Diceros bicornis minor: one gene and its partner. The protein of the gene in region 2 interacts with the protein of the main gene of each other region in a pairwise test. Links are inferred from orthologs where the notes say so. Each region holds a gene or a part of one and is shown on either strand. Other genes may lie near its edges.

What was found.
Region 1: the proteins of GRB7 (region 2) and LAX1 interact in binary tests that used the Homo sapiens proteins (3 or more experiments, as listed by UniProt). The two-hybrid records come from large-scale screens. The link is inferred for Diceros bicornis minor from reciprocal best matches to the Homo sapiens genes GRB7 and LAX1.

Annotation. Positions count from the first base shown.
Region 1 is NC_080743.1:101,882,935-101,898,980, forward strand, and holds the start of LAX1 (lymphocyte transmembrane adapter 1), read right to left. Parts: upstream 6,959-16,046; 5' UTR 6,711-6,958; exon of another isoform or gene 6,370-6,710; 5' UTR 6,263-6,369; coding exon 6,174-6,262; intron 3,602-6,173; coding exon 3,492-3,601; intron 3,058-3,491; coding exon 2,947-3,057; intron 2,388-2,946; coding exon 2,302-2,387; intron 465-2,301; coding exon 1-464. UniProt on the Homo sapiens protein: Negatively regulates TCR (T-cell antigen receptor)-mediated signaling in T-cells and BCR (B-cell antigen receptor)-mediated signaling in B-cells.
Region 2 is NC_080757.1:39,382,939-39,399,365, reverse strand, and holds the start of GRB7 (growth factor receptor-bound protein 7), read right to left. Parts: upstream 6,311-16,427; 5' UTR 6,002-6,310; intron 5,972-6,001; exon of another isoform or gene 5,741-5,971; intron 1,665-5,740; 5' UTR 1,660-1,664; coding exon 1,508-1,659; intron 1,413-1,507; coding exon 1,259-1,412; intron 1,078-1,258; coding exon 921-1,077; intron 794-920; coding exon 672-793; intron 580-671; coding exon 502-579; intron 162-501; coding exon 24-161; intron 1-23. Other genes in the region: MIEN1 (migration and invasion enhancer 1), read left to right, coding at 10,186-10,274, 10,376-10,473, 10,935-11,011, 11,095-11,178; ERBB2 (receptor tyrosine-protein kinase erbB-2), read right to left, coding at 12,659-13,014, 13,158-13,410, 13,701-13,889, 14,095-14,192, 14,595-14,741, 15,068-15,143, 15,262-15,417, 15,552-15,737 and 2 more. UniProt on the Homo sapiens protein: Adapter protein that interacts with the cytoplasmic domain of numerous receptor kinases and modulates down-stream signaling. Promotes activation of down-stream protein kinases, including STAT3, AKT1, MAPK1 and/or MAPK3. Promotes activation of HRAS.

The DNA of each region.
Region 1 (16,046 bases), on a different chromosome or scaffold from region 2:
CAGGGCTGCTTCCCTTGAATGGCCCCGAGATCCAACCCCGCCATGTTGACATAGTCATTTGAGGTCTGAGAAGAATCTTCCCCATCGCTGAGTGGATCACTGCTCTCAGTTCCTGGAGACCAAAAACTGGGGCAGTCACTGGCATTCCCACAGCCCTCGTCTCTTTCCTCAGGAAACTCCAGCTCCTGGGCTCTTGGGAGGTCAAAGAGGTTCCCAGGAGGGCTGCTGGTAGAAGCCAGAGACTCAGCAATTTCTTCTGCTGTGGGGACATTGACGTAATCTCTCGAATCCTCTGAAGAAATGCTCGGGCAATCTCTGGAAGCTCCAATGTTGACGTAGTGTGCTGAAGGAGTGAGGTTCTCACACACGTGGGGCCCCATGGCATTGTCATAGATGCCCACTGCATACCCCACGGCATAAGGATGGGCTCTATGCGTCTGCAAGGCAGTGCCTGCTTGGGAGGGCTGTGAGTAAGAAAAGAAAGCTAGTGACAGGATGGAAGCAGAAATATGGACGGAACCTTTCCTCCTCCCTGCCCAGCACTGCTATCGGACAGTTCCTTCACTCAGCTCTCCACCCGGGAGAAAAGCTCTAGATCTGGGATCTCAAACTGCGAGGCTTTAGATGCTAGGTAGGTATGAGTGAAGTGAGCTGAGTCTAAGGAAAGCAACAGTGTAAACGTGATGATAAATTGCAACTGGTTTTTGGCACAATGTGGAGTGGGGGTGGGGTATGATGAACTGGAGGGGCTGTGTCTCAGAGCACCCTGAGAGGTGATTTAGCACAGTGGCTAATGGTAGAGACTAGGCTGAGACTGAGGGTGCAAATCCCGCCTCAGCACTCGGTGCTGAGTTGGGGCAAGTTACCTAAACTCTCCGTGCCACAGTTCGCTAACCTGTAAAATGGGGATAATCTTAAAATCTACATCATGACTTTTTTTGTGAGGAGTGAATGGATTACTGTGAGTAAAGTGTTTAGATAGCTCCTGGCACATAGAAAATACTAAAAAATGCCCGACGTTATTAGTAAAGGGGCGGTTGATACACACAGTCAGCAGATTACAGCTTTTTAGGGATGCTGGTCTGATGTTCCCAGAAGCTCTGAATTTTCAAGAAAGCTGGACATCCAGACTTTAATGTGAAATCTTTTAGAGATTTAAATGTTGGCAACTGGTTCAAAATGTTCTTCAAACACTACAGGGTCCAAGCCAAACATGTCTGTGGCTTACGTCAGTTTGGGACTTAAGCTCTCGAAGCAAAATCCCCTCTGAGCCCACCCGAGCCCGGAGCCAGCTTTGGCAGTGGGGTTTCCTCCTCCCTGCCCTTTATCAGCCACTCAGACTTGCTGCCCAGGAAGTCTTAGAGGCAGGAGCAGAGCCCAAGGATGGGACATGCGAGAGGAGGAGGAAGCAAAGGTGGTAATGTGGCAGTGGTAACGTGGAGGTGTGGAGGTGGCCGCGTGGTAACTGAACCTAAACCTCTGGGTAATAGGAGGCTGGGTGACAACAGAGTCATCAGCAGCAGCATGACTGCACTTACCCAAGGATGACCACAAAACCAAAGGGATTATTTCTTTAACAAGCAAACAAGACCTTATCTATGGAAATGAACACCCTGCTCTTCAAAGTAATCACTCTCCTGTCCCTGATGCCTCTGCCTCAAACAGTGTGGGGCTCCTGCTTGGGGGCTGCCTTCAGAGCCAGATCCTGAGACACACGGGTTTTTTTCCGTTTAATTATTCCAATTAATAACAATTGGAACCTCAAAGGATATCAGACACTTGCTGTGATCAGACACTTTCTACACTAGTTACAGTGCTGAATGACTTAGGAATATTTCTGCTATTGAGGAGAATTGAAACAATTTGATACAGGCCCCAGAAGTAAGTCCAAAGCAGGGTTTTAAGGGTGTTTTGCACACCAACTGGAGTGTTGGAATATTTGGGTACCCTCCTGAGGTGATGACTTTGAAGGGGACAGCACCCATTTGGATAAGTATGTTATCATGTCTTTGTTAAAACAATCCATTTCAGTTTTAACATCATGTCCTTGAATTCATGCACCCTGGTGCCTTTCTTAAAATCCCAAGCACTTGCTCCTATCTTTCTAAATTTTTCTCCTTGGGCAGTGGGGAGATGCTGAGGCTAGTCTTTCCAATTTATTATTAGGGCTGCAGGCCGACTGCCAAAGGACATGCTGTTTGCGGCGAAACAAGATCTGAGACCTGGACCTCTTTCCCCTCAGTTCTTCTGCCAGAGACACGTCATTTCTCCCAAGGGCTTGTCATTTCACTTGACTCTTACCATGTGCTCAGAGGGAGGGCTGTCAGAATTTCTGGAGAGGAGGCTCTCGGTACTGAAAATACGGATACTCCTCGGCTGATGTCTCCCTGAGAGGACAGAAAACAATCCTGAAGATAGCCCGTCCTCTGAGTGCTTCAGCCCCAACATCCCCTCACTGTGGGTGGAGTGGGTGTGCGTGCTGTCTGGTGTTTGGGGCCTGGTGCTCTGTGGTAAGAAGGGCAGAGCTGCAGGGATGATGTGTTCTGAGCCCTCCTCAGACTTTGTGGTGCTGGAGGACACGAGAGTAGAGGTTGGGGAGGCTGGAAATGGGGCTCCTGGGGCAAACCGTCTCTGTCTGTAATGCGGGCGGCCATGTTCTCCTTCTGAGTGTCTTTCCCACCTCTAGACACACCCATCTGTCCTCTGCTGCCTTGACATCAAGAAAAACTCAAACCCCAAACCTAGATGGCCCCCTGCTCTCTTTTTAGAGCTTGCTAGGCCTCCCCTGGAGCTGTATCTTGCAGTCTATCCATCCCCTTCTCCATGTACTCTGAAGGGCAGAAAGGTCTGGAAGTTCAGAGAAAGTTGCTTCTGGGTGGTGAGATGTGCATCTGGGGGCAGAAGTGTCATTTGTCTGGACTCCATGCTTGGGAAAGGAAAACCTACCCAGCTCTTCTTGCCTGCGGGGCAAGAGGTCGTAAGTATTTTTGGCTCGTTGTCCTTGTCTAGGCAGAGTCAGCGAGGGCCCAGCAGTAGTGCGGAGATAAGGAGCTTGCCCTGCAAGGCAGTGAGAGAGGTGGAGTCACAGTGGGCTGGCTACACAGGATGTGGGGACCCGGGGATGACACGGTCCCTGGAGACATTCCCCACTCTCATCAGGTATCATAAAAAGTACATTTTTAGACTTGACCCTTTCCATTTGAGTTGAAGAATAGGGGACTCGTGCACAGAAGCAGGAAGAGGAGACAGGGGTACAGGGGTACCAGGGCAATGACTCAAAATGGAACTCCAGTCAGCACAGAGCCTTTGAGCCACGATCTTGAGGGAGCCATGATCTTAGGATCTTGAGCGAGACAACGACCAGCATGTCAGATAAAAACAGAGGCCTCCCCAGTGCAATAGTTTATCCCTGGAGAATAAACTGGGCTTTAAACGCCAGGCTGGATTATTGATCCCAGTGTGTCTCAACTTTGGACAAACAAGGGACTCACACTTCTTCCGTTTATTCCAGTTCCACAGGACGCAGAAAACCGTGATGACCAGGAGGATGGAGAGGAGTCCCGCGAACCCAGAAAAGATGTTGCTGCTTTGCTCTTTATCTCTATGAGGAAACAAGTGCGATGCCCAGCCATAGGGGAGTGGAGGAGAAGATAGTTCCCTCAGGAGTTAGAGCCCCAGGATTTGCGATGGAGGCCTGTGAAGGAAAGCTGAAGGGGGGTGGGCTGTGTGGTGGAAGAGAGGGTCATCTCTTGGATGGAGAGAAATTGGACACAGGAGAAGGGAACTATCCCTTTTGAATGCCTACTGGATTCCAGGGGTTTGCATGTGAAATTTATTTAATCTTTACAACAGTCCTGTCTCTCTTGTGGCCAAAGAACCTGAGATTTAGACTCAGAAATGTAGAGGAACGTGTCAAAGACCTCATGGGTGGGAAGGGGCAAAGATGGATGTGAGTCTAGGTCTGTTTGGGCCCAAGGGTTGTGCTAGCTCCAGAGCACCGCACTGTCCTCCAAACTCGCCACATCAAGTCCATCTGCCCCTGCTTCCCCTCATCCTGCTCCTGGGCTTCCTGTCCTGCTTGGAGGAGAGGATTACTCAACTTACAGCTACGGAGTGGCCCTGTGACAGAGTCCAGCTTGCGTGCTTGAGTGACCCCCACAGCACCAACCTGAGAGCTGGTCTCCAAGCAGCACTCCGCTGTTCTGTGTAATTTAACCAGTGCAAATGCACCAAGCAAGGCCACGCTGCTTGTAATTCTCTGGCAGGCCTGGAGTTCCTGCTCTGCTTTGCCTACTGTAACAGGAAGCAGCCAATCGAGGTTCCAAAAGGAATCACTAGCAGACATGCTACCCCCAAATATTAGAAACCAGGTCATCTAGCAGGGAAGGTTTTTGTCCTCCTGAGTTCTAGGCTTGTTTACCCAACTTTATACTGGAAATTTCCACCAGGCTGCCCAATAGACATCTCAAACCAAATATGTCTAAAACAGAACTCTTGCTCTCCCCCCACAAAGCTGCTCCTCCTTTGGTGTTTCCCATCATCTAGTAGCTTGGTCAAGACCCTGGAGCCATACTTGACTGCTCCCTTTCATTCATGACCCGCTTCTAGTCAACCAGTAGATTTTGTCTTCTCAACTCCTGAGCATCTATCCCAAACCCAGTCACCTCTCGCTCCTCCACTGCCACCACCCTGCTCCAAGCCACTGTGTGTTCCCCATGGACCTTTGCAGTAGCCTCCCTAATGGGTCTCCTTGCTTTCACTCTTGGCCACAAAATACTATCTTCACATGTGAGCCAGCGTGATTCTCTCAACAGTAAATCAGATCGCGCCCCTCTGCTTGCAACCTTCCATGACTCCCCATCACACTCGGGATGACACCCATGGTCCCTCCCCAGGGAGGAATTCCAGCACCTTCTGTTCTGGCCTCTGTGACCTTCTGACTTCATTTCCTACCCCTTTCCCTCTGACTTTGACTGCCAGGACTCCTGGCTGTTCCTTGACCACGCAAAGCACAGTCCTGGCTCACCTGCCGCTCCCTCTCCCTGGAGCCCTCCTCTGCAGCTGTCTGCGCAGCTTGGGCCCTCATTTCATTCAGGTCTCTCCTGAAATAGCACCTCCTCAGACAGGTGCTCCTGGGCCACACCCTGTTACTGTCAGTCCCCATACTCTCCTCTGGTGTTTCTTCCTAGCACTTACGACCAATGGACATTATAGTCTACATTCATTTGCTTCTCTGCTTATCTCTGAGTTGCCCACTTGGCTGTCAGCTCCAGGAGGTCATGGACTTGTCTCTCCTGCTCACTGGGTGCCTGGAACAGTGCCTGGACTTATTGGGGCTTGATGAGTATTTGTTAAATCAACAAGTGAGTGAATTCATAAACGAGTGAATGAATATAAAAATAGTTTTTTTGGGGGGTGAGGGCTGCAGGGTTCTGACAGCTTTATTAATTCATCCCCCATCAATGCTCTTGTCCACCTGCAAATGACATGTGTGTGTTTGTCATGGTAATAACATTTATTTCCCCAAACTAGAGTGATTTTAAATTTATTACGGTTGAGTTGTACTGTTATCATAGCACTGAAATTTATACCTACTAGTGTTCCTACCCTTTCAACTGCTGATGGACTTTTTATTTTTGTTAGCCCAATGTTGAAAGTTTTAGCTGTAAAATTTACATCCATGATTAGTTCTGTGAGATTTTGTGTCCTAAAGACATATCTTTATCGTATCTATGATTACATTTTTCATTCATGGCAAGTTTTTAGGACCTAAAAACACATCCTTGAGATAAGTGGGCCTTTTGTTTCCATCATGGCAGGACCTACTTGTTTTTTGAGGAATGATTGGTGGGATCAGGGACAGGAAAGACTGAGGACAGTTATCAGGACCTCAGGGAGGAGAGAAGTCCACCAGGCCAGGCAGCCAGCTCTCAGAAAATCCTGTGTTGTCAGAGCCTTCCTCTTCCCCAGCAGCTCCCTCTTCTCCTCGACACCTCTTCCTTTCCTCCCAGCAGTCCTGAGCAAACCTCTCTGAGCCTAGAGTTTGGTGGTCTCAGTGGACCTGAGCCTGGTTGCAAGGGGTGGCAGCACTGCTGGGGTAGAAGCTGCCAGGGTAGAGCAGGGCCCTCTGTCTAATCAAGGGAGGGTGGAGCTCACCACCCAGAGCCACTCACCTGTCCAGGCTGCTGCGAGTGACCTGCAGAGTGCCGGGCTCCGCCGTCCTCCCTCTGATTTCTGAGAGGGTTGGGGTGGTGACAGCCATTGTCACAGGAACCTCTCTGGCTTCAGCTCCTCCTTCTAAGCCTCCTTTCAATCACAATCAGCCAGCCAGCATGTCTGCCACTTTCCTGGCTCTTCCTAAGTTGTTGACTCCCAGCAGAAAAGGCAAAATTGGTTTGTGTTTTACATATCATACTGTGTGCTATAACCACTTTTTTTAGTAGACAAGAATGACAGAAATCCTCCTGGTTTTCATGTCTTCCAAACCCTCCCTAATGTACAACTCTTAACTCTCAAAATTTCTTCTTAAATCTTTATTCACCAAAGTCTCTCACAAAAAAAGTCTATTGGTTTTTATTTCTTCCTTTCTAAAGCTCCCAATCTGTCTCTCTAGAACTTTCTTTCCTCCAACAAACTCCCTGCTTTGTGCCTACCCCTGAAATGTCAGGCTGAGTTGACCCAACATACGAAGACAACAGGCTTGGTTCTACCTGGACGCGGCTACAATGCCCACTGCAGAGGCGAGGGCTCATCCAGCGTGGGCTCCCCCGGCGAGGCGGCTCCGGGAGAAGCTGTGGTCTTTGCCTCTGGTAGAAGTGTGAGGGGCACCAGGGCGAGACTGCCAAGAGGCCCTAGAGAGGCACCGTGAGAAGCTTCTCTTCCTCCAACCCCCAAAGCAGAGAGAAAAAAGCAAACACTGTGCCGGAATGGAAACAGAGAGTCAGTCACAGGAAGCGACACCACCAACGTGCTAACGGAGCGTGGGGCACAGGAAACGCTGCTCAGCTCTTACGAAGAGAAGAAAACTTGTCTGTGCCCCTGTTCCCTGGGTCAGCCAGGTGTGCCGTGCTCTGTGGGAGTGTGACTGAGGCTGGAGCAAGGTGGTGGGGTATCTGTGCTTGTTCACCCTGGGTTTCTGAGACGTCTAGTGTTTTATAAACCTCCAGGTTTATCATGTTTTTTAGCAGGTCTAAGGAGCCTAGGAAGACGCTTTTTAGAAAAACGCAGAGCTCTGGCACCTGCGGCTGTTCCATGGGCAGAGAGTCCAGAGGGGGACAGGTTGTTTTCATAAATGCTTCCCCAGTGATTTTAATGGAGCTGGTCTGTGTTCCACCTTTGAGAACCTGTGCTCTGGGTTTGACCCTCAGAGTGGAGCTGAGGCTGGGTTAGCGGGGCCCTGGAGGCCATCTCTTCCTGAAGGCCTGCCTGCAGTGGCCCCTGAGTGCTGGCTGTCTCCCTTGCAGGGCTCTTGGAGAAGATCCATCCCAGGCCTGCTTTTTGTACACCCCCATGTGCACCCCAAGTGTGCCAAACTTCAAAGATTGCTCCAGATTTGTTTCTAACTCCCTTCCCCTCACCAATCTCCTGAAACTCGCTTTGCATCTTGGGAGAGTCCAAAGAGAAGGGGCCACTAAGACTATTATGAGGGTGTGAAGAAGAGCCTTTGACTTCACTTTCCACAAGGAAATGGATTCCCAGGTGGATGGTAGGGAAGATAGGTGATGCCTCCTCCCTATGCCTCTCTCCCACCTCTTCCCAGTGGACATCAAGGCCCCTGGCCTCCCTGAGCTGTCAGCCCCTGCCCTATGTACGTCTAGGCTCTCACAGGGCCCCCAGGGGAGGGGGCTGCAGGTTGGCCCAGGAAGGCCCCCCAGAGCTCTGCCATTCCAGGTCCTTGCTGCCTTCCTTCCAAGTAGCCTTACCTGGCAGGAAGCTCAGAGACAGCTGGTTCTAGAGCTGGAACCTGGGTCTCTGCCCACTTCTCCTTTGGATCAGGTCTGAGTAACAACTAGGACACCTCACAGGGAAAAAGACCAGCAGTCTGTCACACTGGGTGGTGGCCGGGACTGGTGGAAGAAAGAGGCCCTCAGGCCTGCCCTCAGCCACTGGTGCCAATAGGGGATGGTGTGTGAAGCGGGAGCTTAGAAGGTGGTACACGGGAAGGGTGAACCTCGGAGCTCTGACTGCTACTTAAAAAAAATGCTTTTCAAGAACGTCCCCCTGTGTGTGACCATCTTGAGTCCCCACTTCCCTCATCCACCAGCCTGCCTGAGTCAGACTAATCTCCCCTCCAGTCTTCTGATTTCCTCCTGCCCCCACACTTGAGGGAAACAGCCCCTCAAAGGAGGCTCGCAGGCTACAGGCCAAGCTCCGGGTTTCCAGGCCCCGGCTGCGCCCTCACCCTGCTCTCCATTCCCTCCCGAGGTGCCAAAACCAACCAACCTAAACACAAAATAGGTGTCTGAAATTATTCATCATAGTGTGGAAGACAATTCCTCCTTCTGGGAAACGGCGCTGTGTTTAGAGCGGCGTGCTCTTGTACTTGCCTTTCACCAGCCTCAATGATTTCAGGAGTTGAATGCGACTCACGATTCTAAAGTATTAAGACCGGCTTTAAATTGACAGAACCTATGCACCCAAGTGAGCAGAGCCCCTTGAGGGCAGGGGCTCCATGCTAACTCAGTGATGTTGCTAACAGCAAAACCTTTCCGAATCCTCTTTGGAAGACAGGTGCCCTAGGTGAGGAACATCAGCACGAGTTCAGATCCTAAATTACTACTTGGTTGATCTTGGGCAGGGCCTCCAACCTTTTTGGGTGTTTCCTTGGATGTAAAATGACAGTAATGACAGTGCGTAGGCAATGCTGTTGTGAGAAATAACGGGGCTAACAATGAAAAACGCTTGCTTAGGACTGGGCACATGCAAGAGCTCGTTAAATGGGGCTGCTATTATGTTATTCTCTCATTATGCATTAGGCTCATTTCTTTATACTTAAGGGACTGCTCGCTCTTCCTCGCCTGATGCTTAGCCCGCCGACCTTCCATGTGTTACTTCCGTCTCGAAGCACATACTTGCGGGCCGTCTCCCATTGCACAAGAGGCCCTGGCTTTGCACGTAAGGCAGACGCGGTCCCTGCCGCCGTGCAGTGGTCATCTCGGCTGGCCGCCGCCTTGTACTCACTCTGCATTCCAGGCGGACCCGGCTTGCTGTCACATTTATACTCTGGGCCTTTGCACGACAAGTTCCGTCATTTTAACAGCAGTTTCTTTTTCTCTTGTAAAATTCCAATAAAATCACATTTTAAGAGTTTATACTGGTTATTTCTGGGTTGTGGGGCTTGAGGTATTTTGTTGCTTTCTTCTTTGGGCTCTTATTGCTTGAATTATTACAAAGATCAAGTGTAATTTTTGTAAAAAACAAAATTGTTATTAAAAAAAAAATGTGGCCCAAGTGTCAGCACCTCCGTGAAGCCTTCCCGTCCTGAGAGCCGGGTTCTTGCTCTTCTGTGTCCCCACGGCACCATGCGTGATAGCACCTCTCAGTTGTTGGGATTAGTTGTTTAAATGTCTGTCTCCCCAAGTAGACTTCGAACCCCTTCAGGGCGGGGACTGTGTTGTATTTATTGTTCTCTGGCTTTTGGCACAGTGCCTGACCATAAGAGTTAATTGGGCTCTAAGAAGTTCTCCTAGGTGCTTATTGCTGCTGTGAATTTATGACCTGGGTGTGTAATGGGGCGAGATACTGGGAAATCGATCAGTGTCTAGCCTGTTTTCCTGCTGTGCGCTCATCAGCCAAGTGAACACGGCAGGCCTGCACTGCCTCTCTCAGGAAGGACAACCTGAGGCCCGGTGTGTCTCCTTGCTCCAGGACGGGGTTAACAGCCGCTTTTGTATTTCTAGGCCAAAAAATGCCAAAATTGCGTTGTGTGAAAGACAGCTCCAGCTAGGCTTTGTTTCTGAAGATTTGGGAGCTGAGACAACCACCGCAGGGTGATAGGTGGAGCCTTGATGGCGGCAAGCCCCACCCACTCGTTCATCTGTGTCCTGGAGGCCTTCTCCAGTGCAGACAAGTCTGAAACAGAGAACAAAGGCCGCGAATACCTTCCCTTTAAGTTAAAGTTCTGAGAGAGCAGGGTTAGGACAGAAAGATTTAGAAAGTACAGAAATATTTCTCTCACTTCTCTGCTTCCTGCCCCTGCTCCACCCAAGGCCCTTGGGGAGAGTGAGGAGAATTTGGAAGCAAGGAGTGTGAGCAGACAAGGGGATGGTTTCCGTTCCCCACTTAGGCTAAGCCCTGGTGGAGGAGGGGGGTTGGCATGGCTGACAGTAAGAGAACCCTTCCCTTAAGTCTGGTGACCTCTGCCTGCTTGGTCCTTCTGGAGTTCTATGTCTGGCAGCCTCCACTTGAGTCCTGGCAACCACAGAGCCGGAGTAGAGCCAGCTGGGAGGCACGTCTGGATGAGCACATGTCTGCTGACAGCCCCTAGTCTTGTCTCAGCCGGACGTCCCTCCCCCAGCCCACAGAAGAGAGCCCGTCTGTCCCCTGCTCCAGGAAGGAGGCAGCTCCTCAGCAGAGGGAGCAGGGTGGGCAGTCACATTAGGCATCGACGAGAGCAAAGCGCATCTCAGAAGAAACACCAAGGGCAGCTGGCGTGCCAACAGGAGTCGGAGGCTGGAACAGGGAAGGCACAGGTCAGGATGGTTTTCTTTGCTCCCTTCTTGTGTGAGTGAGTAGAATATCATTTCAATCATTTCATTAACCAGGGCGTCAGAAACAAGCTAGGGTGGCAAGCAGCATGTCTTAATTTAATTTTTTTTTTTGAGCAAGCCTTTTGTTTTCTCTTTTGTGTGTCATAGGAGAGCATGATGGTGGGGCGTGGGTTTACCTGTGGCCCTTGGTATTAGGCTGGGCCCACATGCGGCCTGTGTGCAGACAGAGCTGCTCTGTTCTTCCATTCTCCCTAGATTGCAGCCACATGAGAGCCAGCATAATCCCCTTAAAGTGCAAGATAGATCGTTGTGGTCCTCGGTTAAAACCCTCTAATGAATTCCCATTTTATGAAAGCCAACCTCATAACAGCTTACAGGTTCTGCCCCCACTTCCAACTCTCCATCTCTGAACTCATCTCTTTCACTTTCCCACTTAGTCACCCAGTTCCAACCACTGGCTTCCCTGCATGTCCTCAAACAATCCAGATCTCCCACCTTAGGGCCTTTGCACTTGCTGTGCCCTTTGCCTGGAATCTCTTTCCTCTACATGTTTACATAGCTCACTCTCTTAGTCCTTTCACATTTCTGCACAGACATCTCTCTGTCAGAGGTCTTCCCCGACCGCTTTATAGAAGAGCAATCCTCATGCTCTGTGCTCCCTATTTCCCTCACACTTTACTTCACTCCCTGGTCCTTGTTACCATTCGACATGCTCTATATTCGTTTACTCTCTCTCCTCCATGAGACAGTTCAAAGAGGGCAGGGACTTGGTTTTGTTCCCTGCTGTACCCCCACTGCATACAACAGTACCTGGCACAGTGAATACTCGAATAAATGAGTAGACCAGTATCCAAGAGGAGGAGACGAGACAATAAAAAACGACCGAGAGACCTCTCACAGATCTTGGCGAGTGCTAGCTAGTTTGATGCTAGATTTGATTTCATTTAGAAAAGAAATGAAACAGATTTCTTGTGCGTTAAAGGCTGTGGAACGATTTGTCTTTGTTGCAGGTGTAAGTGGCTGAGCCCCAAGTGAAGCCTGCCTGTGCACGCCCCGGTGTGCAGTAGTGTTCAGTGCACGCACGATAACGCTACATCCAGGGGAGACAGCACAATGAAAGAGAAATGCCAGTGAGACATTCTCCAATGGTTATCAGTTGTGATTTTAGACCCTCGAGTAAGAATGGGAAGAGTGTCAGCCTTGGAAGGACTCTTAGTTCACACAGCAAACTAGTGGCAAGGCCAGGATGGTAACTCAGGCTTGCTGCTTTCCAGTCCAGGCTCTTCCATCAGAGCGCAGATGAGCCGCGTTGCTCTCCTCTCTAATTTTATGCCAATCCATTGGGTTAGATCTCTGGATTTCCAAACTACTGCTCTTTCTACAATAGAATCAGTGAGACAACAATCACAGCATGCTGGACAACAACCACTAAGTTTTACTCTATATTACTTTTGCATAGATTGATAATTATAATGGGAGACAATTGAGACAGGATCTGAATTAGGCTTGCTTGTGTATTTAATCACACAACTTGCTGTTACATCATCACCCAAGTTTGGGTCATTTCAGCACTGATTATTTGATTTGTTAATTAGAATTGTAGCATTTCAGAGCCAGTGGGGACCTTAGAGATGGCTAGTTCAGTGCTTTTAAGCCATTTTTTAAAGCTACTGCTGGGCCAGCCCCATGGCTTAGCGGTTAAGTGCGCGCACTCCGCTACTGGCGGCCCTGGTTCGGATCCCAGGCGCGCACCAACGCACCGCTTCTCTAGCCATGCTGAGGTGGCGTCCCACATACAGCAACTAGAAGGATGTGCAGCTATGACATACAACTATCTACTGGGGCTTTGGGGAAAAAAAAAGGAGGCGGATTGGCAATAGATGTTAGGTCAGAGCCGGTCTTCCTCAGCAAAAAGAGTAGGATTAGCACAGATGTTAGCTCAGGGCTGATCTTCCTCAACACACACACAAAAAAGCTACTGCTGACCCGGAAGCCAAATATATGAAAAAAAATGCTACTTTTGTTGAATACATGTGGGCACTGAAGCATCTCTAAGGAATCCCTTTCAGATCTTCAAAGTGTAATTTGAAGATCATTGATGTAGTTCAACCATCTCCTTGTAGAGATGGAAAATCAAGCCAGTCAAGCAGTGGAGTGGGGTTCCAAACACGCATCTCCCGCCTCCCGGGCTGCCACACGTCAGGATCTTACTCCACCTCCCTAATTTTCCTGTTTTAGCTCCTCTACCAAAGGGTGGGCAGAAAAATATCAGCAGCAGTTTCAGTTCAAAGGTTTGGTAGGGAGGACGCAGGAATTCTCGACTCAAATGAAGCGTTTTGGATTACCATGGATGTATCTGTTCTCCCTCTGATATGGCTGAAGGTAATTGCTGGTTCCCAGCTCTCCCTCTCCAGCCTCCCTTCCTCTTTCATATAAGTTTTCATGTATATTTACTTTAAAAAAGGCCAAGACATGAAGACTTGAAGTTATAAAACACAAATCAGAGCCTTTCTTTGTAGTATTCCTGGGGCTAGCACAGCAACAAAAGTTAACCTTATTAATTGTGCTGTGTTTGGAGGATGGTCTACATGGCCTCCATTACAGGGGACTTGAGACAACTCAAGTGGTGCCTGAGCCTGAACCCAGGGACCAGGGCCATCTGAGAGCAGAGGCAGACGCACCTGAGTCTGATGTGATGGCATCCTTGCTCAGATTTCATGAGCAGGAGTCAAACTTACGATTGTAATTTGGCTTTCCAAACACATAGATCATTTAAGCTCTCATTGTGTGAAGTGGCATTCTGGTTTTGACAGCAGCCTCTCAGGAGATGGCAGTGGAGGCCATTCCAAAGAGACTGCATCCTTCTAGGCGTATTTCTTTTGAGGACAGGGAGGTGTTCTTTGAAACAAGTTTCAGAGGAGTAAAGACTTACGATTAGTTCCACATCAAACCCAGAACCCAGGAGCTACTACTTTCAAGGCTAAAGTATCCTGCCCTATGAATCTAGCAGGTTACTACCTCTCGTGGCTGAGGTTCATGTTGAGGACAACTGGATGTTAATGACACCACACAGCAAGATAGTAACATGTTTACATGTTTTATTTACAACAGGGTTTCAAAGTTATTTGCTGGTAAAGGACATGCCAATTTCATTCTCCTTCCTGCTTGCAGTGACAGGAAGGCCATGCCCCAATGGGCCCAGGTCAGAGGCTGGTCACCAGTTCACTGCTCCCAATGAATCATCTTTGGATTTGTCAGAGGAAGTCAGGGAGTTGCCTGGTTGTGTGTCCTTGGGAGGGAACCAGGCGGTTTTGGTGGAGAGCTTCAAACAAACTCAGTGACCACAGGGAGAGGATACGGTGGCTGAGAAATGGGAGACTCACAAACCATTACTAAAGATGGAGGGCAAAGAAATTATTTTTTTCTAGAATGAGGGGTAGGGAAAAGATGGAAGAAAAGAGCATGCTTTTTTCCATCTGCTAACTCAGGCCCAAGGGCCTGAGCTGACTTTACAGCCCATTAAACCAATGTCTTATTGGTCTCTGCCAGAAAGCCTCTGTGAAGCTTATTCTTCTCCATGCCCTACTGCACACTGGGTTAGGAGATGTGAATCCTTAAGATCCTGTCTGGCATAGCAGAGGCACCCATCTAGGGCCCAACAAAGACAAGGTGAGGGTAAGAGGGGAAATAGAGGGCCAAGCTTTAGAAAGGACTCCAGGGAGAGGGGTGTGTGTGTGTGTTGCATCCCTTGTTAGCAAGGGTATTTGGGAGGGAACTACAACAACAACAAAAGACTAGTTCTGTTTTGTGAATGACTCCTTTTATCAAATAAGCCCCAGCTTGTTTGTTATTCACTTGTTTGTTTATTTATTACCTTTCCCCAGCCCATTTTAAAGACACTAAGTGAGCAGTGTGCCTGTGCCTGTAGAGAGCAACCTGGGAGGCCTTTTCCACCAGGGCTGAGTCCTCCTGGAGAATCGGCTGTTAAAACAGCTGGGAGAATTTGGGCTGTTCTTCAAGACCATACTTTCTCTAAAGGACCTTGGGGAGCTGACAAAGTCCTTTCCTTCTTCAGATGTTTTAAAAAAGACCAGGGACTTGCTTGTGCCCCTGGATGAAAGCTGCAGGAAGGAGTTCTGAGTTCTGAGATATGAAAGCTCAGAACCTAAATGACCTGTCAGGAAGCTGTTTCGATCTGAAACTGGGGCCTAAGATCAGTCACGCTAGAGACTCAATGATGGAACAACTCAAACAAACACAAAACTTTGGAAGGCAGGGACTGGAGAACCTCAGAGGGGAGGTAGGGAAAAGCTGCTAACATAAGTGGAATGAATTATCCCAAAAGGTGTTTCATTAAAAAAAAGCAAAGAAAAAAGAAAATACTGCCAAGCCTGACTCTTACCCTTCCAAATTCACCCTTTTTCAAAAGCTCCAGCTTCACAGCTCCCTGATCATAAATTCTAACCACAAGCAGGCAGAGCAAAGCCTGGACACCAGGGAAATGAATCTGACAACCAGGGCCACGAGTCACTGGAGGGACGTGCTGGCAGAGAAGCATGTCAGGGTCCAGTGACAAGCTGAGTTCTTGGTTTGCACAGACGGGGTTCTTGACGTGGCTGTGGCAGATCCCTCTCGACTTCGACAGACACGCAGTGATGTTACCCCAGGTGGAGACACACTGAGGACAGCACAGTCACAAGTGGGCATGGGTTTTTATTCTCAGTGCACGGCACTACTGGTTTCTGCTCGTCAACAAAAAGCTTTATTGGTTCCAAAAAACTTACTCCTTTTTTCCTTCTTTTAAAACTCTTCTTTTATTCTTCCCGTCTCAGTGGAACAACATATTTGAACTTCAGATTTGCCAGTTTCTAGCATTTTTTTCTAAGAACCATATAAAACACATGCAAAACACTGTACAGAGGGTTTAAATAATATCAAAATGCAAATTCAGATTGGGTGCACTGTTAAGCTGAACTGCAAATTATGGCAATATACACTGGGGTGCACAGCGCTTTGATACCACCGTTGATTTGTTTATGCCATGCAGATTACAGTCAATCTTCTGTTTTGTTCATTTTTCTTTTTTATATAAAAATACCAGTGCTTGTTATACTAGTTACTGGAAAACAAAAACCTCAAAATTCCTATCTGCGTGCTGATTTGAAAAGAACAACGTAGACAGCTCTGTTGGCACATATACATGGCATATTCACAGATGGCATACACACATGTGGGAGAAGACAGGAACCAAAGGCCAGCTCAGCCCCAGAGCTCAGTGCCCTCCCTCTCTCCCCACCAAGAGGAAAGGGGCCAACAGGCCGAACGGCAAGGTCGGGA
Region 2 (16,427 bases):
GGCTGTCACCCTCAAGACCTCACCTTGGAGGTGCCCTTGGTGGAGTAATAGAGCCCAGACCGGCGCAAGAAGCAGAAGAAGCGTTTCCAAAGCTTGCGTCCTGACCCCCGCAGCTGCAGAAAGCCCTGGATCTCTGGGCAGCTGCCTGCATTCAGGAAGTTCTAAGGCCAGAGGAGAAGAAGAGGGTGAGAGGCCTAGAGGGGGCCTGACATTCACACACACACACACACACACACACACACACTCACACACACCCCCAGGCCTTCAAAGGACCCGCCTTTATGACAGGAGGTGCTCCACATGCACTCATTGTCCCCATTTAACAGATGAAGAAACTGATGCTCAGGCAGGGAAAGGGACTTATCCACGGTCCCATAGGACATAGGACTGCACTGGGCTCTTTCCATCACATAGAGGGGAGGCACAAGGCTTAAGGGCCGAGAAACAATGGGCGATCCTGGGGAATCGTGAATATGCTGTGAAATGGGGATGTCCCCTCACCTGGATGAGGTCTTCGTGGGATATGCCCGTGTGGGCATCAAGACAGCTGGAGACCATCTTCTCTGGGAACAGGGACTGCTGGGGGAGAAAGGAGTCAGCACTCAGGGATTGAGGGTCCAGGTTGGGGATCAGGGTGTCCCAGAGCCCAGACTCCCCTCACACACACTCACTGGGGAGCTCTTGAACAGTTCATACTTGGCGAAGTTTTTCCGGAAGACGAAGCGGCTATCTCCGCCAATGGGCCAGGCGGCCTGCACTTCCACCACCGACTCATGGTCCTCCAAGCCCCGCTCTGCGGTCAAGGGCAAAAAGCAGGGGTCAGTGGAGACGAGCCAGGCCCCCCCAGATGAGCCACCTGCCTAGCCAAAGATGTGAAGTATTGCCTTCTAGCCTAGGCAGCCCCCTGCAGCCCAACTCACCCAGCGCTAGATGGGGGTGGCACTCCACCAGCCCCCAGTTCTCATCACTCAGGGCGTGAGCTCTCTGCACCAGCATTTCGGACACGTAGCGAGCTGTGGCACCCGCCGCCACCTCCACCGACCGGCAGGCCCCATCTTCGCTGTACACCTTTACTACCTGCACCCCAAGAAGTGCAGATGACTTGAAGAAGGGCAAAAGGTGATTCTTTCCCTTCCTGCACCTGTTATACTCTCAGGGACCCCTGACCAAATCCCCCACCTTCATGGAAGTGGGGCTATATCCACCCAGTCCCGTCACACCCCCATATCCCTGCCTCCTCTTTCCCAGGACAACTCACATGCAGGCGGCTGGCGTCTCGGGAGAGCAGCCCCCTTGCACTGCAGGATCCCCCGAGAATGGGGGTCTGTGAAGGAGGACTGCAGAGCTCAGGGAAGGGGTTGGGAATGGAGGGTAGAGAGCTTGCCCGCAGCTCCTCCTCTCGAAGAAGTTTCCTGTGGCCAAGGTGGGGAGGGATCGACTGCAAGCTTCTACGTATAACCCAGCACTGCCCCCCCAGCCCCTCCTCAGTCCCAGCACCCCATTGTACCTGCTGTTTGGAATGGGCAGAGGCTGGGACCTCTTCACCTCCCCAGGCAGAGGGGTGTCAGGAGGTGGGGGAGTCCCAGGAGGGGTGCCGGGGGCCAGGTACAGGTCTTCTGGGGAGCTGCTGGGATGAGGTGGAGACAGACCCAGCTCCATGACATCTGAAGGAGAAGAGGGGGCTGAATGCAGCTGCTCTTTTGCCCTTGTCCCAGGGAGAGGGGCCAAGAGGACCCGGACCTCCCGACCTCATACCCCCCTCAGAGTTTACACTGCACCTCAATGCTCCCCCTCGAACTGGAGTTTCCCTGGAGCCTTTCTACCTGGAAGGGTAGCATGAGCCCATTTTACACAAGGGGACACCGAGTCCCAGAGGAGGAAGCATCCTTGCCCATCACAGGTGACCCAGGGAGTGGAACCCGGTGTTTGGGCTCCAGGTCCAGTGCTCTTCCTTTAGCCCCAAGTTGCCCAGGGGAAGAGCTAAGGGGGTCCCCCTACCACAAGCTAGGCAGCAGCAACAGACTCCACAACCCACAGACTGTCTGGGGCTCAGGCTCTCAGTGTCAGGGCACAGGGCCACCCCTCCATCTCCAAGCATGAGGCACTCACTCCTCTGGGCTCTGCCCCGGGTTTTTCCAGCACTTCGTTGCCAGACCTGGTTGCCAGAGCCTGTTGTGGCAACGCCTGCCCAAGTGCTGAGTGATGCACAGAAGGGGAGAAGGAGGTGGGGAAGGACAGAAACTAGGAGGGCAGGAGGCGGGCTCAGCTGGGCTGCAGTGGGAGGGAGAGGGCCAGCCTGGGGGCCCTTGCCCCAGCAGCTCCCAAACCTTGTGTGCCCTCCCCAGGTCCCTCCTCCTGCCCAACTTTCTTTTTTTTTCCTCCTCCCCAAAGCCTCAGTACATAGTTGTGTATCATAGTTGTAGAGTTCTAGTTCTTCTCCGTGGGATGCCGCCTCAGCATGGCTTGATGAGCAGTGAGTCGGTCTGCGCCCAGGATCCAAACTGGTGAACCTTGGGCTGCCGAAGCGGAACATGCAAACTTAACCGCTGTGCCACCAGGCTGGCCCCCTGCCCAACTTTCTTGAAGCCCCAATGCCAGAGCCATCTCCTCTGAGAAGCTTTCCTGGATTTTCCACATGCAGACCGAAGGGCTCCCTTGCCGCACTGTGCAGCCTCTGCCCCAACTACTGTGCACCTGTCTTATCCACCCACTGGTCTGAAGACACCTGGCACTATTAGGCAAGGCTGGGGCCTTACCCATGTCTTCTCACCCACAGGCGCTGCACAGGCACCTGGGACGAGTAAGGATAGGAGAGAGGGGGCAAAGATGTCCACTGGGCATAGAGGCAGCACAAGCCCCTCCTCCACAGGAACCAAGACCCCTTTGGCTGGGCAGAGACCCAGGAGGGCCTGGGAGAACTCATCAGTTCCAGCCCCCTGCCCGCTCTCCGGCCACTGGGCCAGTGCTGTTAGGCTGCCTGGGGTGCCCTGGGATTGCCCTCCCAGGACGGGGCAGGCCCCTGACCCTTAAGTGAGGGCATGAGGGGATTTGGGGGACAGGTGAGTCAGGGTGGGGCGGGACAGTACTGCCTGGGGCTCTCCATTCAACCTTGACTCATCCGAACAACTTCCTGGCTTAGGAGAAACACAAACAACCCTGCCTCTACCCACCCCCTCCACTCCTGCCCCCATCCTACCAGCCTGGGAGGAATAGGGGAGGCACAGGGCAGGGAACAGGATAGGGGAGAAGGAGGAGGATGCGGGGCCTGAGGCTCCTCTGACATCACCTCCTCTTCCCCACCCTTGGCCTACCTCCGACTGCAACTGCACCAGTCCAGGTGGGACCTGCAATCTGCCCCCAGTCCTGTAGCCACCACCCAGCCCAGGAGCCCCCTCACACAGGAAGGGGAGAAGAAAGGCCCGGCCCGGATTCAGAAGCCCATCTGGAGTGGAGCCGACCTCCCAGTGGTGCCCCTGGCTCACCCAAGGAAACGCACAGCACTGCCTCTCCTGTCTGGGCCCTACCAGGCTTTCATTCTGCTGCTGCTGCCCACCCCTAGCACCCAGGACTCAGAAGGCCCAGGGGAGGACTCAGAAGGCCCAGGGGACTCGTCTGCAACACCTCTGGGGGATGAGGGTCCTGTTAACACACTTTCTTGGGTGTCCTGGCCAGAGGGGTGCCACAGCAGCAGGAGGGGAAAGTCAAAACACCCAAGAGGACTGACACAGGCAGACAGGGAAAGGCCTGGAGGGAGAACGAGGGAGGGGGCTCAGAGTCCTGTGGTGCAAAGGGCAAGACACACCCACTATCGAACATCAACAAACATCAGTACAGCAACACCAAAACACAATGCCCAGACTCCCACCTTCTGTCTAACCTCTGGCAAACAGCCCTGGTGACTTCATTCCGGGGAGGACTAGGGGGAGGGATGGCAGGGGCCACCCCCACCACGAAGTCAGAGACCAACAGAGGAGTGGGGGCAGGAATCGGGCAGGAATCGCACAGTGTTTGGAAGGGGAGAGGGGAGTAGATTTAAATCCGATTAGAGTCTGGGGTCAGAGGGCAGAAGGGCCGATTTAAGACTTGGGTTTTGGCTTTACATCCCTCCACGCTGCCCTCCAGACCCTTCTAGGCAAAGAGGAGTGGGGCAGTCAGGACAAAAGAGATGAGATGGGAGGAGAACGGGGTCCTAGCTGTGGGGCCTGGGCAGGCCCCCTCCCAAGAGATCTGAAGCTTCTGTTGAAACTGACCCCCGAAATCAATCTGTCCCCTCCACACTGCAGCTCCAAACTGTGGCTTCCCTAACCGCCTCTCCTGCCCCGGTGGCTCCGGCCCCACCCTCCTTCCCGCCCTCCCAGCCTCCTGCCTCCTTGTTTACTTCCTGAATCTTGCCCCACCTGGCTGGCCCCAAGGGCGGGTGGCAGGGCCCAGTGTTTAGAGCCGATAGAAAACAAGGCCACCTTGGGTGCTTCCAGGGTGGGGGGAGGGGCTGGTAGGGCAGAGGCCTGGGCTGGGAACCTGGAGGTGGCGGAAAGGCCCCCAGTCTGGCCCAGTACTCCACGTCCCACCCCCATCGGGATTTATTGTAGTGGGGAAGGCTTAACCTTTGGGGGAGCTCTCAGGGTGCAGGGCCCAGGTGAGGAGGTGGGGAAACCCCTGGGTCACCCAGAGTTGGGAGCAGGGCCCAGGACCCTGGGGCCCCGCCCACTCTCTCGATCAGGAAAAAACACCCAAGGGGGTGCGGGGGCAGCTCTTTTAAAGTTTAATTTGGGAAGAATGCTAGACTGTCTGTGGAGTTAATCATTACAGGCTGCTTGCCTTCATGGAGGGCCCCCCCAGCAGGATATCAGGGGGAGAAGGGAGAGCAGAGTCCAGGATAGGCGACCAAGAGGGGGCATTCTTTAAGGGACAGTGGGGTTGGGAGGCCTTCCAATGGCGGACAGGTGCATTCTCCATCCCCAACGTGCCAGGGAGACCCCCACTCGGGTCTTTCCCCAGACTATTCAAACAGACAAGACCATCTGCCCCCCAACACCACAGACTCTCCCTAGGCCCCACTGCGCTGCAAACCCCCCCCCCCCCCCCCCCCCCCCCCCCCCCCGGCATCGGCCCCTCCAGCCTTCCGAGCCCACTTCATTCTGAAGCCGGGAGGGATCCCCGGGCCTATCCCGCCCCAGCCCCCCATCTAAGGACAGGACCCTGTGTTCCCGGAGAGACGGAGCTCTAGCAATTTAGAGAATCCCTCACCTTTACTGCCCTCCAAACTGGAGGATGCCCCCCTCCCCCCGCGGAGACGTCGGTGTTTAGTAAAGACTTTGGGAAACTCAAACTGGGGTAAAATCAAATTAAGCAAAGGAGTGACCCGGGGCAGCTCCCTCGATATTCGGACCCTCTCCTAGCTCTCTTTCTGGGAATGTGGGGAGGGGCTAGTTTCAGCGGCAAAGCGCGTCTCCTGGAGAGAAAATCTGAGATCTTACTTTCCCATCTCCATCAGCTGGTTTCTCCGGGGGGCTGAGGAGGCGGGTACAGAGAGGGAAGGAAGGAATAAGGAGTACAGGAAATGAGAATTTGGGAAAGACTGAGGGCAGATGGTGAGGAGGGAAAGGGCGGGATGGGAGACTGGAGGAAAAGAAAGTGAGGCCGTCAGAGTAACACAGCAGGAGGCCGAATCTTTCCATATTGACCCGGGACCTTCCGGAGCTCCCCACCCCCAAGATGAAGTGATCGCTTTGGTCCTTACCTGGACCCCGGGCGTTGGTACACCTGGCTGGGGCCACTGGTTTAGGGAGGGAGACGCCAGGCCCTTAACTACCTGTCCCCCTCCTGCCCCCGCCCTTGGCCTGACATCACTGAGGGGGGAAGGGAGGGGAGCCAGGCGGGCCCCTGTCCGCACACCTGGGCAGCCAGCCAGCTCCTGGCCCAGAGACGGGCACAGCTGGGGCCCTGGTGCGGCTGGGGGTGGGAGCAGGTTGTCGTCTGGGACCGATCTCGGTCCCCTTACCTGGAGGAGCCGCAGCAGGAGTAGCAGGACACAGCGTCCGAAGTCCGGCTCTGTCTAGGGACCCCAGATTCGAAATCGACTTGATTTCAAATCCACTCCCTCTTCTCTACAGGTAGTAGGAAGGTGTCCCGACTTTGGACGTTGAAGTGGGAGTGGGGGGAGGGTCAGTCCTGTGTGTCCGGGCTCCTGGCCCAAGGAAACTAAAATTATCTTGGGCAGGTGGGGGCGGGGCCGGGGGAGGGGCCTGGGAGGAGGAAGCACAGGAGCAGGGGCGGGGACTCGCTGACTACGCTGGCTGGAATTGTTTTCGCCCTTCTTAGCCCGGCAGCAGGTGCCAAGGGAGAAGCGGGGAAAACAGTCGAACTGAACAGCCTCGAGAGCGAAGATCTAGAGTCCTCACGACCTGGGAGGGAGGGGCTGGGGGCTGGAAGGTAGGGGAAACGCCCCGCCCACTCTTCCGCATGCCCCTCCTCAAACCTGGTCAGTTCACTGGCCAAGCTAGGGGGCCTGTCTGCTGCTCTGGGTCTCACCTCCTGGGGAAAAGAGCACTCTGCGAACGAGGGAAGCCAGCCAGAGGGTCGTCCATCAACATGGCCTGCCCCTTGACCTCCTGCCACAGTCTAGCCAGCCAGGCTGTACCCTAGCCCCTCAGAGGTACCCAGGGTATATCCTCCCTTCTGAACAAAGTCCAGGGTCTCAGCTTCTTCTTCTGAAATAGAAGGGTTTAGGCAGGGTCTCTTGGTGGGAGGAGTGATCTGGGGAAAGCTCTGGCCAGGTGCCAAGGGACTCCCTTAGAGCGATCACGTTAGCTCTCTCCTTCAGCACTAAGCAAACACGAGAGGGCCGGGAGGGGACCTGGGAGGCTGAGATCAAAGGCAGCAGCCTGAAGTGGGTGACAGTTGGGTAAACAAACATCCACAGGGTGATAAGAGGTCTGCCCTGGGGGACCATTAAGGAGTGGCTCCAGCCTCAACTTTCTCCAAACTGGGTTTCCCTTGAAAAACCAGGTTAAGTGAACCAAGCAAAGAAGTCGGGGAGGGGGCAAGGTCACCTGGGCCATGGAGCAGCTTGTGCAAAGCACAGTAGACAATTCACTCAATCATTCATTCCTTCATTCATTCAACTAATATTTGTGAAGTACCTACTATATGCCAACCCCATGCTTGGTACTGGGAAGACAGTGGTGAGCAACAAAAACAGACTCTGCCCTTATTCTCACGCAGCCCAGTCGGGGAGACTGATGTTAATCAAAGAACACACAATTAATAAATGACAGGTGACAACTATTCTGGGAGAATGACTCACCCAGGGATTTACGGAAGACTTCTCTGTGGAAGTGATGATGGAGCAGAGGGGAAGCTGTCTGGGACAGGGAGGAGGTTGGAATTGGTGGATGGGGAAGGGAGGGCACCTTTCATCATGAGGAAACAAGTGCTAAAGCCCTTGGCAGGAGGCAGGAGGGGACACAGCATGCAGAGGCAGAGTGGGGGCGGAGGAGAAGGAAGGAGAGGAGGCCACACAAGTAAGCCCGAGCAGGTATGGAAGGTATGGGGAAAGACAAGTGTTTTGGACTCAGATGTTTTTCTCAAATTGTGGCCTGTGACCACCTGCCTCCAAATCTCCCTCGGCTTATATGAAAAACAGATCCCTGGGCCCTTCTCCATCTACTGAATCTCAGTCTCTGGGGCCAAGACCCAGGAATGTGTGGTATTGACAAGCCCTCAGGTGGTTGTTCTGTAAACCAGGTTTAAGAGCCATCCATCCTGTCTGTCCAGACTGGCAGGGCCTATGGGCAGAGGCCAGACCTGCAAGGTCTATCTGGGCTTATGTAGAGGCATGGGGGAGGAGGCAGATTTCTATTTTGGAAAGATCACTCTGGATGTCAAAGGATAGGTTGGAGAGGGAAGCCAGACTCAGAGGGCTGAGGGCTGTAGAATTCCATTTGTATGGCTTTCTGGAAGGGGCAGAACCATAAGGACAGAAAGCAGATCTGGGGTTGGGGAGGAGGGCGAAGGGTTGACAATAGAAGGGCACAGGGACTTGTGAAGAGGTAATGGACCTGTTGTGTATTTTGGTCATGGTGGTGGATGTACAAATGAGCGTGTCAGGACTCACAAAGAAGTACACTCAAGAGGGTGAATTTTACTGTGTATAAATTGTATATGAATTTTTTAAATTAAAAAAGAACAACAAAGAATAGATTTATAGATCAATGGAACAAAATCAAGAGTCCAAATATAAACCTTTAAGTTTCTGGTCAATTGATTTTTGACAAAGATGCCAAGACAATTCAATAGGGGAAAGGATAGTCTTTTCAATAAATGGTTCTGGGGACAATTGAATATCCACAAGCCGAAAGATGAATTTATATCCTTACCTCACATAATGTACAAAAATTAACTCAGAGTAGATCGTAGACTTAAATGTAAGAGCTAAAACTATAAAACTTCTAGAAGAAACCATAGGAGAAAATCTTCGTGACCTTGGGTTAGGCAGAGATCTCAGATACAACAGCAAAAGCACAAGCAACAAAAGAAAAAGTTGGTAAATCAGACTTCATCAAAACTGAAAATTTTTGCACTTTATAAGACACATTAAGAAAATTAAAAAAAAAAAGTGTCAAAGACTGGGAGAAAATATTTGCAAATCCTGTATCTGATTAGGGACTTTGTATCCCGAATAAACAAAGAACTCTTATGAATCAATAATAAAGAGACAACCCAATTAAAAATAGGCAAAAGATTTGAATAGATGTTTTAAATAAGATATACGAGTGGCTAATAAGCACATGAAAAGGTACTTAACATCACTGGTCATTAGAGAAATGCAAATTAAAACCACAAGAGGTACTACCTCACACCCACCAGGATGGCTATAATCAAAGAGACAGACAACAAGTGTTGACAAGGTAAGGGGGAAACAAATCCTCGTATATTGCCGGCAGGAATGGAAAATGGTACAGCCACTTTGTAAAACAGTTTGGCAGTTTCTTAAAAAGTTAAACATAATCTTACCATAAAACCCAGCAATTCTACTCCCAGGAATCTACCCAAGAGAAATGAGAACACACATACATACAAAGACACTTACATGAACGTTCATAGCAGCGTTATTCAAAATAGGGAAAAACTGGAAACTTCAAATGTCCATCAACTGGTATTAATAGATAAACAAAAGGTGGTATAGCCATACAATGGGATACTACTCACCAACAAAAAGGAACTACTGGTACATGCTACAGCATGGCTGGACCTCAAAAACTTTATACTGAAGAAGCCAGAAGCAAAAGACCACATTTTGTATCATTCCATTTATATGAAATGTCCAGAAAAAGCAAATTTATAAACAGAAAGCAGATCAGTGGTTGTCTAGGGCTGGAGCTGGGGGCTGGATTGACTGCAAACACGCAGGAGGGACCTTTTTAGGTTAATAGAGACGTTCTGTAACTGGATTGTAGTGATGGTCGCACAACTTGATACATCACTGAATTGTTTAAAAATTAACGGTTTAAAGTGAGTGACCTGTTAGTATACTACAGTGGGAAGGAAGAGGCAGCGAGACAGCCTCCATTTCTAGAGTTACAAAATGGTAATAACGATGCCCGCCCTGTAGGGAGGCTGGGAGAGACGGGAGTTGCAGAAACTGGGTGCACGTGATGGGAGCACAGAGCCTCAGGAGCAGGAGACCCCAAAGCCTAAAGCTTCCGAATGCAGGGGGGTGGCGGTCTCTGCCCCAGACTGTGCCTACAGTTTAGAGTTTTAAGAGTCAGAGTATTTGGGTGTGTGACTATGGGGTGGTTTAAAATACCATCAACATGTTAGCGACAAATGGCAACTATTCCATACCAAACCCCAGGCCCTGGGTCCTCTTGCCCCACCACTTTGTCTTCCTTTTGTAAACCGGCATGCGCCTTGCAGTCTAAGATATTTCATTAGATTAAATAGGCCGTGAAGCCCGGCAGACACCAGCTGCTGGACAAGCCCCGCTCTCTGAGAAGCCACGCCCGGGAAGGAGGTCTGGACCGGTCCGACCCGCTCGGAGCCCTCGAGCTGGGATAGAGGCAAAACGTAGCAGCAACCGCGGCCTGCAGGGGGCGCCCGAACGTAACGCGCGGCCCCCGCCCCGTCACGTGTCCGCGGCGTAGCGCACACCCGGAAGCAGCGGCTGGAGCCGAGCGGGCCGCAATGAGTGGGGAGCCGGGGCCGCCGTCGGTAGCGCCCCCTCCCGGGGAGATCGAACCGGGCAGTGGGGTCCGCATCATGGTGGAGTACTGGTGAGCGGCTTTGGCCGGTGGGGGGTCCGGACCGGACGGGAGTGGGTCCCCAGAGGCCCCTCTCCCGAAACCCAAGCGGACCCCAGGTATCGTCTCCGTAGTGAACCCTGCGGCTTCGAGGCGACCTACCTGGAGCTGGCGAGTGCCGTGAAGGAGCAGTATCCTGGCATCGAGATCGAGTCGCGCCTGGGGGGCACAGGTGAGGCCCGCAGAACACCTGCTGAGTCAGTGTTCTAAATCACAGCTCTACCACTTTCTAGCTCTGGCATTGGCTGTTATATAGTGTCCAGCAGTGTCTGGCACATAGTAAAATATCCAGCCAACTTGAGTCCCCTTCCATAGGTGAGGGGGTCACAGATGAAGCCTGTAGAGAAAAACCGGTGAGACTACAGAAGTGTCGGGTTGGGGGGGCGGGTGCTCTTCATCGAGTTACGAAGCCGAGTTCAAAGGAAGGACACACAGGTGATGCTTAGGTTTCTTTGGCTTGACCCAGGGTTGGGAAATGGCTTCAAGAATTACAAGTTTCTAATGGGGTCAGTGGGGGACATGAAGGAGCCTACGTGAAGCCTAAGGACTGTGGAGGGACTCCCTCTGGAGGGACTCCCCTGACTTTTGCCTGTTCTCAGCATACAGTTCATTCATCGGTTTATTTAATACCAGGGGCCTTTGAGATCGAGATCAATGGACAGCTGGTGTTCTCTAAGCTGGAGAATGGGGGCTTTCCTTATGAGAAAGATGTGAGTATGTGCAGTGTTGGGAGGCCCCCTGATTCACCCTGCCCCTACAATGCATCATCCCATTCCACATCTCTGCCCTGTAGCTCATTGAGGCTATCCGAAGAGCCAGTAATGGAGAACCCCTAGAAAAGATCACCAACAGCCGTCCTCCCTGCATCATCCTGTGACTACACGTGACTACGCTGGTGCCCCTTTGGGTACCAGGAGGGAATAGAAGCTTCAGTGGTCTTGGGAGTGGGAATACAGTGTGACTACACTGGTGCCCCTTTGGGTACCAGGAGGCAATAGAAGCTTCTGTGGTCTTGGAATGGGAGAGAGACCTTCTCCGTGGACATTTCCACAGCCACCTTATACCCCCTTCCCAGGATCAGTGCCCACAAAAACCCACTCCCCTGTCCAGCTTAGCCATACCTGTCAGATGCCACCATAGTTCTTATTTTCCACTAGCCCTGGGCAATGTGAGCTATTGGCAATAAAGTGGCACTACAAACACCTATGCCAACTAGTGTCTATTTTTATGTCCAGTTTGGGAATGTGTGTGGGGGGGACGGGGTGCACAGTGGCCAGCCCAGCCTTTATACCACCAGGGTGGCTGTGCTGGGTGGGTGGGCTTTTTCTGGATAGCTACTTCTAGTTCAGTGATCTCCTCTCTCATAACCAAGGCAAGGAAAATGAGTCACACAGTAGACACTGCCTCTTCTTTCCTCTACCCCTCCCTCCCCTGCCCCTCCCCAGAGGGGGAAATTATCCCATTCTGGTGGGTGGCCCTAGGAATTCATTTTTTGGTAAGCAAGAATGATCTGGTTGTCAAAGGGCTCTCAGATCAGAATCCCAACTCCCAGATCCCCCCAACCCAAAAGCCAGGAGACTGGAAGAGAGGCTCCTCAAACTTGCTGAAGATTCCTATCCACTCCCTCCAGGAAAATAAGAGTTGAGTGTTAAGTCAGGAGGTGAGCAGTAAGGGATGGCACAGAGCCACCCCGACATAGGCTGGTGCCCAGCTGTTTTCCAAAATATATTTGCCAATGGAGAAAGTGGGTGTGGAGAAGGGCCATCCCTCCCCGAAACCCAGGGGCACCCCTTCCCTTCCACAGTACCCACTCTCCCCTGAGTCCTTATTTCATCTTAAAAAAAACAAAAACCATAAGTAAAAACAAAACAGAAAAGCACTCTGTACAAGCACTGGATCTGGGGGCTCCTGCTGCTCTCTTCTTCCTGGGGGCAGAGTTGGGTCTCAGGGACAGTCTGTGTGGGCTGCTCTTGTTCTTAGACACTCCCTTGGGCCCTTCCCCTCCTAGGCCCAGCTTCCCTCAGTCCTTCAGTGCCCAAGATCTGAAAGAAGAGGGCCAGGCTGAGCTGCTCCCTCAGATGAGCAGACTGTGTCTGTGGCATCCATTGGACCCTAGAGTCTGCTGGGGCAGGACTCTAAAATCAATCAAGACTCCCCAGTGCTGCCCCCTCTTCCAACCAGGCTGGGCCCCTCTGAGCCACCTGGGAATTGGAGGAGGAAAGAAAGTTCCTGGTATGGCGGGCTCCCCTGGAAGTGGTCCAAGGGCCCTCTCCCCGCCTGGTCCCAACGCAGGCCAGAAGGCAGGCCTTCCCCACTCTGAAGGCTCAGCAGGGCCTCAGCAGACTTGGCCTTTGGGCTCACACTGGCACGTCCAGGCCTAGGTATTCCGGGTTCTCTGCTGTAGGGGTCCCTTCAAAGGTGCTGGGCGGAGAGCCCCGCTCTGATGGGTCCTGGTCCCAGTAATAGAGGTTGTCAAAGGCTGGGCTGAAGGCTGGAGGAGGGTGGGGCTGAGAGGCAGCTCTGCCCCGGGGTGCCAAGTACTCAGGGTTCTCCACGGCACCCCCAAAGGCGAAAACGTCTTTGACAACCCCATTCTTCCCTGGGGAGAGAGTCTTGGGCCTTTCCAAAGTGGCACCAGCAGGTCGACAAGGAGACAGAGGGCCCTCTAGGGGTGAGGGGGGCTGTGGCCGAACCTCTGGCTGGTTCACGTATTCTGAAAAGGCAAGAAAAGGGGGCTTGTCAGGGGACAGAACCCATGTGTCCCGGCTACTACCACTGCCCTCATAGTGGGCCCTGGGCCAAGCACCCCCAACTCCCCCACCTCCCAATCTCTCAGCTCAGGCTTGGACTCCATACCGGGCTGGGGGCTGCAGGACAGGGGGGCAACGTAGCCGTCAGTCTCAGAGGGCAGGGGTACTGTAGGGTCCTCGCTGTACCGTTGTAGAGGGCTGGGGTCATGTTGGGGGAGGCTCTGCAGTCCCTTGGCTGCCCCCATTCCCAAGTCACCATCAAACACATCAGAGCCAGCCCCTTCTGAAGGCGCCAGTGGAGACTTGGGGGGCTCCTCCTCGGAGGGCTCCAGCCCCAGTGTCAGCTCACCACCGCCACTCTGGGGACGAAAGAGAAGGTCATGATGGGAGTCATTCATGGATCTGGGATAGAGACTCCACAAGGTGACAGGGTCACAGGAGATGAACAGAAGTCACCTTTGGGTTATGACACAGTCACTGTGGAGAGAATGGGGTCACGGGTTAGAAAGCAGTAGGAATCCTCGTTAGGGATAATGGGGTCTCCATGAGAGGAGATGGTTGGGGGGACATCAGAGAAAGGGACCCTAGTCCATTGGGGTCGGGAGAGGTAACCAAATCCACCCACCACAGTGTGAACGAGGGCACTGACCCTGGAGGATGAGCTGCGGTGCCTGCGGTGGGCTGTGCCCCCAGCACCGGGGGCAGGGTCTGGGCAGAAGAAGCCCTGCTGGGGTACCAGGTACTCCTCAGCATCCACCAGGTCCCCCATGTCGTCATCCTCCAGCAGCGAGCGGTAGAAGGTGCTGTCCAAGGGGCTGGCAGGGCCCAAGTCCTCATTCTGGGGAAGAGGGAGACAGAGGATGGCAGCCTCTCCCCAGCCCAGTGTGCAGCCTCCCAGGAAGGCTTAGGGAGGACAAGAGGGATGACGAGTCAGGCCAGGGCTGGGCTTGGAGGCCTGGGACCCAGGAGTCATCTCCCTTTCCACCCTCTGCAGGAGAGCGCTCTCAAGTCATAGGCAAGGATGGGGAGGAAATGCCCAATACCTGGATGACCACAAAGCGCTGGGGGTCCCTGGCCATGCGGGAAAATTCGGCCACCAACTCCCGGAACCTCGGCCGACATTCAGAGTCAATCATCCAACCTGGGGGCGGGAGGGAGCTCAGCATCTCAGCTGTGGCTGCAGCCTGCGTGCCGCCCCGCTCCCTCCCTCTGCAGTCTAGTCTAGACACCCCCAGTTACTAGAGTTCAGAGCCCTCGGCTGGTAGAGAAGAGGTACCAGACTCAGGGCCTGAGCCAGAACATTTGAGAATCTCTATTAGTATCCCCTTTTATTTTGCATATAGGTCTCTTTCGAGCTGGTCCTCTAGAGCTCCTCTGGACTGGTACTGTAAAAGGGAAGCGAGACCCTTTTGAGGCTCCTTTAACCATACCAGGGCTCCTAGGTCCACATCCTGCTCTTGGCCCCCTCCCATGACCTTTGTAGGCCCCTCCACCCAGGACCTCCCACCCCTCCTCCAAGCAGCTGGCACAGCTCAGCACGCACATTTGACCATAATCATGTAGACATCAATGGTGCAGATGGGGGGCTGGGGCAGCCGTTCCCCCTTCTCCAGCAGGTCAGGGATCTCCCGGGCTGGGATCCCATCGTAAGGTTTGGCCCCAAAAGTCATCAGCTCCCACACAGTCACACCTGGGCAGAGATGAAGTTAAGAGGTGGGAGAACCAGAGGGAGCTTTAGTGTACTGAGCCCCAAAGCCTCTGCCCAACAGCCTGGTACCACAGGGGAAGGAGGAGAGGGATGCGATGCCAAGGGGCAGGAGCCACCCAGTCGTTCCCCAATCCCTGGGAAGTGCACAGACCCTGGCAGGTTGAGGTACTGGCAGCCCCTCCCTTCCCTCTCACATTCACGGTAAGGTGTCTCTTAATTCTCCCCATCCTGGCTCTCATCCTTCCACCAACATCTCCCCCAGGGCCACAGCTCCTTGTCCACCCCTCCCAACCCGCCCCAGCACGCACCATAGCTCCACACATCACTCTGGTGGGTGAACCGCCGGCGGAGAATGGATTCCAATGCCATCCACTTGATGGGTACCTGGGAGATCAGAGGAGGAAGTCCTTGAACTAGGTGTGGTGGGGAGGTGGCTGTTCTCAGAGTTCTCCCAGAGGCCAGACCCCACTCCACCTTGCCTCAATCTGCTCCCTCCTCTAACCTTGCCCCCATCCGCGTGGTACTCTGTCTCATCAATGTCTAGCAGCCGAGCCAGTCCGAAGTCTGTAATCTTGACATGGTTGGGACTCTTGACCAGCACGTTCCGGGCAGCCAGGTCCCTGTGCACGAGCCTCACGTCCTCCAAGTAACTCATCCCCTGGGATCAGAGGCATCCATGTGGACCACGCTCTGGCCACACCCTCCCAGGAAATCTCCCCAACCTAGCCCTGCGTGGAGACAGAGGCTTACCCCCAAGGGCACCTGCAGAGCCCAGGCCCCCTAAGAGCATACCTTGGCAATCTGCACACACCAGTTCAGCAGGTCCTGGGAGCCCAGGCGCCCACGGTGTTCTCGGACGTGGTCCAGGAGGCAGCCATAGGGCATAAGTTGTGTCACCAGCTGCACTGTGGAAGTCAGGCAGATGCCCAGGAGGCGGGACACATATGGGGAGCCCACACCAGCCATCACATATGCTTCCTGGGGGCAAGGGTACACACTGAGAGGGTATGGGAGACCACAAACCCCCAACCACCACACACCCCTCCTGAGGGCCAAGGCAGCCTAGGGACCCTCACCCAATCCAACCCCATCCATCACAAACCAGAACCATGGCCCACAAACTGGGGAGGTTAAGAGTCGAGGTTTGGGGAATCACAAAGTGTCTCCCCAAACCCAAGGGAAGAGAGAGCCCAGAGCCCAGACCAGCAGCCAGGGGGTCCCTCCTGTACTCCCGGTTGGAGAGGGTGCAGAGGCTTACGTCCAAGATTTCTTTGTTGGCTTTGGGAGATGTGTTTTCCCTCAACACTTTGATGGCCACTGGGATTTTCACATTTTCCCCATCGGGGATCCAGATGCCCTGGGCAGAAAGAGGAGGATGTGAGAAGAAAGAGGGCCAGCCAGATCCAACCTGCAGTCAGTCCAGAAGGTCATTACTTGTGCTCCTAATACCCTTCCCCACCCTTGAGCCAACCCCACCATTGAGCAACAACCCCACTATTGAGCCCCACTCTCCACTCCCTTTCCCCTTGTTCCAGCCTCTGTAACTGCCCTACTCAACAGCACGACCGCCAGCTCTTGGCTGTCTTCCCCAAGGGAACCCTTGGCCACACCCCACCCATCCTCTGGGACCGCCCACCCAAGACTTTGGCCCCACCCCTGACCTTGTAG